Linked DNA regions of Neodiprion lecontei. The protein of the gene in region 1 binds, or shares a complex with, the protein of each later gene. Links are inferred from orthologs where the notes say so. Each region holds a gene or a part of one and is shown on either strand. Other genes may lie near its edges. The genes, in order: DNA polymerase epsilon subunit 2 and DNA polymerase epsilon subunit 4.

Region 1 (5,800 bases):
ATTTTTTCATTTTCTTTTCTCTTGATTGTTCGTACAACTCTTTCTCCTTTTATGGTTGCGTTATAATACAACCGCTGCTGATGTTATTATGCAGCAAATTCATAGGCTTGTACTGAAACTTGGATAGATCTCTTTATATCAAACATTTTTTTAAACAATCTCCCTCTCCGTTTGCAACTTTTGTACACACGCATATGTAATAGACTGAAAGTATTTTTTTCCCAATTTTTCTTGGATTCTTGTTAGCTGTAATGTCTTGTATGTAATATGAAACTGCGATACTTTTATATGTATTTACAAGTCTTGAACAAGTATATATCTGTATATTACTGTATATCTATCGATCAAGCGTCTGCATGCTTTTGTGACTGTGTTTATACAGAAAACAAAACACAAAAATTTACGTGTACATTGTAAAATACCAATAATCACAAGAATAGTAATAGCAAAAGCGAGCTATTAATATTCGTAGCTAAAGAAAAGTACGAAAGTCGAGCATGCATTCACTACAATATTTCCGCGAAAACACACAAAATATTTCATTCATCACATTAGTAAAAATAGGAATAGTAATAATGATATTTAAAACATTACACATTTTTGCTGGATTTCGGCATCCAGTGTATTCGTTATCTGTATGTATAAGTATGTACATACATGGGTATAGGTATAGGTATATGAAAACGAGGTAGTCTTGCAGCGACAAATTTGCACGTATCAATCCTCTTCCTCTTTGCCTCTCACTCATGCCCCAGTACCCTACCGACGAGTGATTAAATTATTATTATTTTTCTGATTTTATTTAATTATCGTAATTACAATTAATATTAATATTATCACACTACTATAGTTAGTTATAAATAATATTACAATTACTATTACGTCTGTACTTGTATTGTTAACTTAATCATAATTATAATAATGATTACACGCTGTTATTTCTAAGTTGAAAGAAAAAGTAAACTAAAAGGAAAATGCCCACTTTAAGTTGCGAACATGAAAACGCGCCGACGAATCAAGTATTGTAAAAGTTCGCGACAAGGGGTGAAAAACGACAGAGAACAAACATTCATAATTGTCCTGTGAAAAATGAAAGAAATAGTAATAATAATAATAAATATTGTACAAAATTATAGCGAAGTACACATCATGTTTGGTAAACAGGAATGATCAAGCTATACCGTGAAGTATGAAATTTACATTATTTTTCATTTGGTTAGAAATCTTGTTTTGTTGAAAATTGTTGTTTAAAGGTATCATCTTAAGCCTGTAAACAAAAAAAGAAAATAACGACCAAAATATTGACAGATCGTTAGCTCTGATCTTCTTTTTCCATCTCAGAATCTTCGATTTTATTTTCTCCTGGTATGTAGACTTTGAATGGAAAATCATTTTTCGAAAACACTCCTGGATTTACAACAAAACATTCGTTGTACTCAGTGTTGTAAGGCTCAAACTGATCAGCCACGACTATGAGATCTGGCGTTGGATAAAGCTGTAACGCTTGATCGTGCTTCCAGTAAATAGGCACTGTAGGTAGGGCCATAGGGGTCAAGTGGGATTGCGAGATTATCGATTTGGCATACTGAAAATATAATTGAAAAAGAAGAAATTAGATTTGATCCATTAATTGATGTATATTTTTTCTTACGTAACAAAATAGAACGAAACTAACGTCTTTGGGGATATCCGCATCGTCGGGAAGGTATAAAGTGTTCCTGCATAACTTAGTAAGAATATCTTCTCTGAAAACTACTATTTCCTTTGTACAGTACTGAATTCTACAGGGATTTGTTGCCAGAACAGTTTTAGGAATGGCCTTGATGAAATCCTCAACTACGTAACCAGGTATAGGTGCTCTTGGGAATATTCTTGGTGCCCCAGGATCGTGTGGCCCAGGAATAAGGACGAATTTACTGTTCTGAACAATCTCTGGATAGCCTGCAATTATATCAGCCAATCTTTTGAAGCCTTCCTTCAGTTTCTGTGAACTGGTTACGTTTGGTGGAAAGCTCAGAAAATTCCCACATATCACAAAAGCCACTGGGGGAAAATTTGAGAACTCCTCTAACATGAGCTTGAGTTTTTCAAGTACTATCTGGTCGTCGACCCATAATTCAGATATGAACACGATCATCTCATCTGGGTTGTTCTCCTCAAAATTTCTCAACTTCTCCGATGTTTTCAGCGACACTGGATGATGACCACCAAAGGTGTTCGCCGTTCCGAAACGCGCGCGACTTTCTGTCGATGTCTCGGACGGTGGAAATCCTATGGTTTTTACGACAAGTACCCTATCTTCGTAGTCTCCTCGTACCAGAACTACGCAACCCTCGGTTATAAGATGTGCTTGATAGTCTTGAGAGAGAGAGAGAGTTAAGGTAAAATAAATCACACTTACGTGCAAATCATTAATTATTGTTTCAGAATTGTCAAAGAACTTCCTATAGTTTGTTTTGAAAAGGATATTGCTTGACTGAGATCAATTTTGACATATCCGCTTGCATCTTCCAGGTAATACTGTCTTTCGGTCAGCTGAGCTAACATGCCTATAACGTAGACATCTTTAGCCTCAGAGAGACTTAGTAGATACTCTATTTGACGTAGCTTCACTCTGACTGTGTCCACTTCACCAAATTTGACAGGAGCAAAGAGCTCATTCTGCATGGTCCTGTGCCATAGGAGCTCGAGTCGTTCTTTGATTACCAGAGATTTATCGACAGGTTCTGAAAACAAATTGGGAACGCTCTGCTCGATGACAAATTTCTTGTTCGTGACATCGTATTTTATCTTTGGTACTCTGAAACCGTCGAGAACGTTCAGGATTGTTTCAGTCTCTTGGAGACTATTGCTTGGTCTAAGGCACTCCTTGAGAGCCACCTTTATGTGATCCACACTAACGCATGGCTCAACTAAATCCTGTGCCAGGACATACTCGACTATTCGACATATCCAGTGTTCGTGCTCCGCTGCATCAATATTTCGCAATTGACGCGCTAAATGAAGACAGCATTTCCTGAAGGATGAGGAAAAAATTGTATTGTCAATTATGAGACGATGACTGTTGTCATTTTTTTTTTTGTTCCATTTTATTGTGAATTCGTTTTGTCAGATAGTAGATGTCAGCAATATATATTTCATACTTAAAGTATATCCATACATACCTGTTTATGTTCAGACCAGACAATTTGAACGCTGTTTGAACGGTTTTTATTAACCTCTCATTTTCCATGGTAGCTGCTTACATTCACGTACCCATTTACCATTGCATGGATGAACGAATGAAACTGACAATGAGTGGAAAACAGGGTCAAATTATTAAAATTAATAGATTAGTAAACAACACCGATGTTAGAGTCGACGTATTAATAGATAAATTTACACTGGAGACTGCAAATTCATTTGTATTTCTAGAATAATCACGGCCTGCATTTACGCGGGAAAAGCCGCACAGGTGACACCGCCTAACCGCTAGCAATAGTATCACAGGCTAAATGTTATGAATGAAAATTAGAATTTGTTCGAAAACTGTACACATAGATTTTGTCAGTTAATAATAATGCGAAATCTTCAACTATCGTGTGACACAGAATCATATGAAGAGTTAACTAATGAGGCCTTGAGAATTAATGTCGCAATGAATACAGGTAGAGTAATAGGATACTGATTTAATTGATTACATGTTATGATGTGTTATGTCAACATAATCATTATTCCTTCTTGTGAAATACATAATCTATCAAAATCGATAGTCGGGAAATTTCGTATTGGTAACATTGATTTATTGATTAATTGGTCAATTGATAAACAAATTGGAGCTGGAGCATTAGGCCGTGTGTAGAGTGAACGCTTGAGCTAGGCTTCTCAGGCAATTTGATACGCAATTACGTGTATTGGATACCCTTTGAAAAACACTTGAGGCACATAATGTTGACGCAAATAAATTCTGGTCATCAGGCGTACTCAGTATTGCAAGAAATGGCTTTCGTTGCTACGTACTATTACTCATATTTCTACAATAATTGGAGTGACGGTAGTACAGGTAGGAAAGCGATAAGTAATAAATGTCGAACAGAATGCGAAAATGATTATTCCAAACATAATTATACCAATCAAAATTATTCTACATACAATACTGACACCCAAAATTATTCCACACACGATTATGCCGCAAAAAATTGTTCCAGGCTTTATAGTGTGTCACAAACTATTCTAGATATAATTATGCGACGCACAATTATTCTGCACATAAGTATACCACACGAAATTATTGTACACATAATTATACCAAATAAAATTGTTATACTTATGAAAAAAAAGCTGCACTAAATTAGTCGTGTATCCAACTATCGCAACGAACTTGTTTTCTTGTTTTTCAGTAATTGAATATCTAGTTGTAGGTTTTATTAGTTAGGTGAGCTATACCGGCGCTACACAAGCGCATTCTGCACCTCTGCAGAATTTTATTGCAAAGTCTTGGCATATTATACTGTATTTTTATTGTGTAACTAGCTACATTAATGATTGAATAAATAAATAAAACTACAACATACCACTCAAATTATTCTACATGTAATTATACCATACATAGTAATTCTACATAAGATTATATCACACCATAGTATACTATACATGGAAATACCGAATAAAATTATTCTGCACACAAATGCCTGCTTCCCTAAAAGAGCCTGCAAACGCTTGCGTTTACGTCTAGTGTCCTTATTTTGTAGCTATTGTAGAAAAATTTCAGTGTGAAACTGCTCTTGGTATCAGGAGCGCAGGAGAACCGAGGATCTCTTCTAAAAATAGGGAGACATTGATTGATTGATTGGCTGCATGTGATGTCGACGCTGTATGACTGAAGGCATGCATGCTTGCTTGAGAGGGCATGAGATCTCAAATTTTCGCGCCACTTCCTATTAGAATTAAGCAAATCGGAGAAATTTCAGCGAAAATTACTCCGGGTATCAGGAGCGCAGGAGAACCGAGGAGCTCTTCCAAAAACAGGTACACATTGATTGATTGATTGACTGCATGTGATGTCGACGCTGTGTGACTGAAGGCATGCATGCTTGCTGGAAAGGGTATCAGATCTTGAAATTTTCGCGCCACTTCCTATTAGAACTAAGTAAATCGGAGAAATTTCAGCGAAAATTACTCCTGGTATCAGGAGCGCAGGAGAACCGAGGAGCTCTTCCAAAAACAGGGACACATTGATTGATTGATTGACTGCATGTGATGTCAACGCTGAGTGACTGAAGGCATGCATGCTTGATTGAGAGGGCACGAGATCTCAAATTTTCGCGCCACTTCCTATTAGAACTAAGCAAATCGGAGAAATTTCAGCGGAAATTACTCCTGGTATCAGGAGCGCAGGAGAACCGAGGAGCTTTTCCAAGAACAGGGACACATTGATTGATTGATTGACTGCATGTGATGTCGACGCTGTATGACTGAAGGCATGCATGCTCCGAGTATCAGGAGCGCAGAAAAACCGAGGAGCTCTTCTAAAAACAAGGACACATTGATTGACTGCATGTTATGGCGACGCTGTGTGACTGAAGGCATGCATGCTTGCTTGAGGGGGCATGATATCTCAAATTTTCGCGCCACTTCCTATCAGAACTAAGCAAATCGGAGAAATTTCAGCGAAAATTACTCCTGGTATCAGGAGCGCAAGAGAACCGAGGAGCTCTTCCAAAAACAGGGACACATTGATTGATTGATTGACTGCATGTGATGTCGACGCTGTGTGACTGAAGGCATGCATGCTTGCTTGAGAGGGCATGAGATCTTGAAA
Region 2 (4,053 bases), on another chromosome or scaffold:
CAGTTTTAATAGCCTTACGAAATTTATCATAATAATACTAAAAATCCGGTACTTTCCAATAACTATCTGCATGTCATTTTTAGCTCTGAAATAAGGGTAGGGAAAACTGAGTGCAAGTAAATATGTCGGAGATAAAATCTATACATGAGGAAATGTTATATGTATTCAACTAAAGCTGATATGATCTAATCAAGTGAATGTGGCACGCGTTATGTAATAACTAAGCAAATAAATACTCTTTATACCAAGTCTTACAATACTTATTTTTATGTCTATCTGTCGCTGGATCATTTTTTGTTTTTTCGTCCGCATTGAAGCATTGTAAGAATGATGATAATAAATAACGTGATTAATAACTTCGTGTGTAGCTTTAAATGTTTTACAAAATAAACTGCCTTATTTGTCCTTAATACAGTTATTTCAAACCTTTCCAAAATCAAAATTTCCCAGGCTACTGTGAGCCAGTTCATTCCTACGACACTTTGGTTTAAAAACTAATCTGTATCACAAGGTATCGGAATAAACTTGTTGAATTACACAAAGATAATTGAAAATATTTTTAAATGTTATTACAAGAGCTTCAACTGTTGTATGAATTAATGAATTTAAATACTTATCTTAATAATTACATGATATAACATATGTTTGTTTCACGTTAAATACACTATCGATTGAAATGAGAAAATCATCTTAGTCATCCGCATGAGTGACGTGCAAGTGTTAAAGCTAATATAAAAAAGATTCAAAGTCACTCTAATGCTCCTTCTAGAAACACCAATCCGTCGACATTTTCAATGGCGATTTCGACATCTCGTTTTTGCACAGTCTTCTTCTTGTTCTGTGCTGTATACTTGTAGGACTCTTTCGCTAGGGAGTCAATGAAAAGTTCCTGCAAGCAATGCAATTTAGCAATAACTGCGAATAGGTGAATTAGGAAAATGTATAAGAAAAATTTAATTTGAATAACTAATTACCGCTGATTTTGTTATCAGAAATACAGCCTCTTGAGTGATTAAGTTTACATCCGGATCCAGTTTCACTATTGCTTTAACTCTACTCAGTGGGAGTTTTAACAATTTTTCTTTCTGTTCCTCGTCACCATGAGAAACACCGTCAATTTCTTCTTGGGAATCCTGAGAATGTTCAGCTATCTCGCTGACTGCACTTTCATTCAATTCATTTTCACTCATGAAACCATGCACTTCCATTTCAGACATTTTTGAAATATTTGTATTACGTTCGATTTACTGACCCAAACATCGACTTACGGATCAGTGGACCGCTTGATGTGATGAGCTTCTCGCTATGCAATCGCAAAAAGGAATTGATTTTTCACGATTTCGTCCGTCTAGGAGCTAAACGCTACTCTTTTTCTGTGAAGCAATCAATTGACAAAAGTATTGTCAGCAGCTTCACGCATATTTCTACACACTATGGTTATGGTTACGACTGAAATCTATAAAAACGGCGACCGATCATCGGATCGTCCTCTGGGTTTTTACCACCAGATTTGTCATCTTGTACCGGTACAGTCTCGCGGTAAAATCCTTTTGCCTTTTGCATTTAAACTTTTCATACAACGTTACTCTGCCCAAAAGTCTAGCGAGCTTTCAGCTCCGTTTTGTCATATTAATTTAAGATCTTACACTAGGTAACTTCGTTGTTTGTGACTCGAAATATTGAACTTATAAAATAAATCCAAGTTAATCAAAGTATCCAAATATATTAAAATCAGTCATTCCGTTAAATCCTCTCACCAATCTACGCTGCAAGTCATCATATCCAGATTATTCTCAAAAGGTAAGCCAATTAATTAAATCTTTTATCCAACAATTACTCCTTCCTCGGTTCGTTCGATTAGAGCGATAGAATGCCCGTTGTTCGGTGTATTTCAATACTCTATCGGTAAAGGTTTCTCTCTGTCGGTAATTGGTGACCCAAACAACTGATGTCTAACTCTAGCTGTGTGAACGATTCCGGTGTCTAGCATCTGGAAATTTCCACCAGGTACCGTTCGACGTCACACTGCTATCATTTCCGGTAACACAGCAGCGACCACCGATGTGGCCAAATTGCATAGTTAGCAACAAAGACCGTGGTTAGCAAAGTGTATCTATCTCTCTTCACATACGACACTGGACAAAGCAAGTAACTATGTTTTGGGGGGATTTCTTGTGCTATTGGTTAGTTCATTTACTCAAAGTAGAAAATTTGAACAAACTTGTGTTGTGTAGTTGTTGAACGTGTTTGAATTCGAGGTGACCTCTATTTACTCCCGAATTATTAATCATTTTGCAGTTATTTACGGGGTGAGTAAATATTTTAACAAGATCTCATCTGTCAAAACGATCAATCTATTGCATTACTGAGGGTAATCGAGCTGAAATTATCTTCAAGCAAAATATTATATGGGTTAAATGAAATATTACGGTAATGTGCTCTAATACACCCAAGGTAGGGTGCTAATCGTAAGATGCTTGCGAAATCGTGATCCTAGATAGCGAAGGCTCTCCTCTTCTTCTCGTCCTTTGTTATCATGGCGTATTTGTTGATAATTAATACTATCTCTACAGCATAAATCTTTTATTTTTGTATCTCGAATGCGCATAGTTTGTCATTTGATTAACTGCACCGTTCGCAAGGATTTGTGGGCGATGTGGCACTCTCAATATCATGCTGAAAACATTAGGTTCGAAGTTTGATATACTCTAATGTTTAGTAGAAACTTGATGTTTTTCAGATACTATTTTTTTTTGGGCAGTTGTCACTATGTGACGCAGATTCCGACCAATCTGAATACACTGTGCTAATTGTTTATATCATTCTTTGAAACTCTGAAGTTGTTATATTATCATCGCCTTTATTTGCCATAAACATATAAGTATACCTGTTTTTATATACTTTTTTGATTACAGATATTCGCAGCTCCTTGAGTAACGAGGTCTTCAAATCATAATAATAACAACAAAACCAACAACAATATTAATATAAATTTAAACAATGCCAACATCTCATCCCTTGACTGGAGGACCGGACCCTGAAAGTCTTTTGACATGTCCGTATAATGCATCTCATAGACTGGCTCGCAAACGTATGCAATTCCATTTGACAAAATGTCGCAAAGCTTATCCCTTATCTAAAAAGCAGACATGCCCCTTCAATGCAACACACCTGGTGAACGAACAAGAATTCCTGTTTCACTTGGAAACATGCTCGAACAGGGGAATTGTTGACAATTTCACGTACATCACACAAGATGAGAATCATGCAATACAATCTTTGCCAGAGCCGGATCTTCCTGACAGTGAAGAGAATTGGGATAATGTTGGTAGAAAATTTGTTTTGCCTAGATGAGGAAGATTATATTTATTTATCTCTAACTTAGATACGATAATATCAAAATATTCTGTAAGGAAAACATCGTATATATTGTAAGTTTATTATATTTCTATAGTAATATAAATTATGGAATAGGATAACTGTGGGACATATGACGCTGCTGTCAATGTGGCAGAAGCACCGATAATACATACTTTGATTGGTGCTACCCCAAGTGAACGCAAAAAATTTAGAGTACAAGAACGACAAAGATTCCGAGCTCTGGATGAAAGTATTTCAGTTGTCAAGGTTGAACCAAAGGTAATGTGTTGTTGTTTTGGGTTTTTTTTTTATTTTCTGCGTGAATTAAGGTCATGCATTAACCTCTAAATATTTTGACAACACACGGTGAACAAGACAAACTTGCTCTTGAAAAAACTACTAAATTTCCATAATAAAATTATGTAATTAATGCGAGGGATAAAAATTTTTTTAAACTGCTTTTCGTTTCGTGTTTGGTATACACTGTGAATTTGAAACTCTACTGTATTGATAAAGCTTGAGTCAAAATTTAGGCTGCCAAAGAAAAAGAGTTTCCTGATGATCAGCCCCTGAGACAGCCAACTACTCTGCCAAAGTCTCTCAGCTCTCAGTCATCTGCAGGGGGTGATGCAGCCGGTAGTTCAGGTGGTCAGAGCAGCACTGCTTTACATCCTGAGCCTCAACCAGGACCAT

Evidence for each region.
Region 2: DNA polymerase epsilon subunit 2 (region 1) and DNA polymerase epsilon subunit 4 share a complex: the UniProt entries of both Homo sapiens proteins name them as parts of the DNA polymerase epsilon complex. The link is inferred for Neodiprion lecontei from reciprocal best matches to the Homo sapiens genes POLE2 and POLE4.

The regions. Positions count from the first base shown.
Region 1 is NC_060266.1:941,016-946,815, forward strand, and holds DNA polymerase epsilon subunit 2, read right to left. Parts: upstream 3,843-5,800; 5' UTR 3,233-3,842; coding exon 3,165-3,232; intron 3,017-3,164; coding exon 2,470-3,016; intron 2,360-2,469; coding exon 1,676-2,359; intron 1,586-1,675; coding exon 1,313-1,585; 3' UTR 615-1,312; downstream 1-614. UniProt on the Homo sapiens protein: Accessory component of the DNA polymerase epsilon complex. Participates in DNA repair and in chromosomal DNA replication.
Region 2 is NC_060263.1:35,831,979-35,836,031, reverse strand, and holds DNA polymerase epsilon subunit 4, read right to left. Parts: upstream 1,915-4,053; 5' UTR 1,758-1,914; intron 1,374-1,757; 5' UTR 1,218-1,373; coding exon 975-1,217; intron 890-974; coding exon 749-889; 3' UTR 545-748; downstream 1-544. Other genes in the region: gametocyte-specific factor 1 homolog, read left to right, coding at 3,001-3,324, 3,475-3,639, 3,894-4,053. UniProt on the Homo sapiens protein: Accessory component of the DNA polymerase epsilon complex. Participates in DNA repair and in chromosomal DNA replication.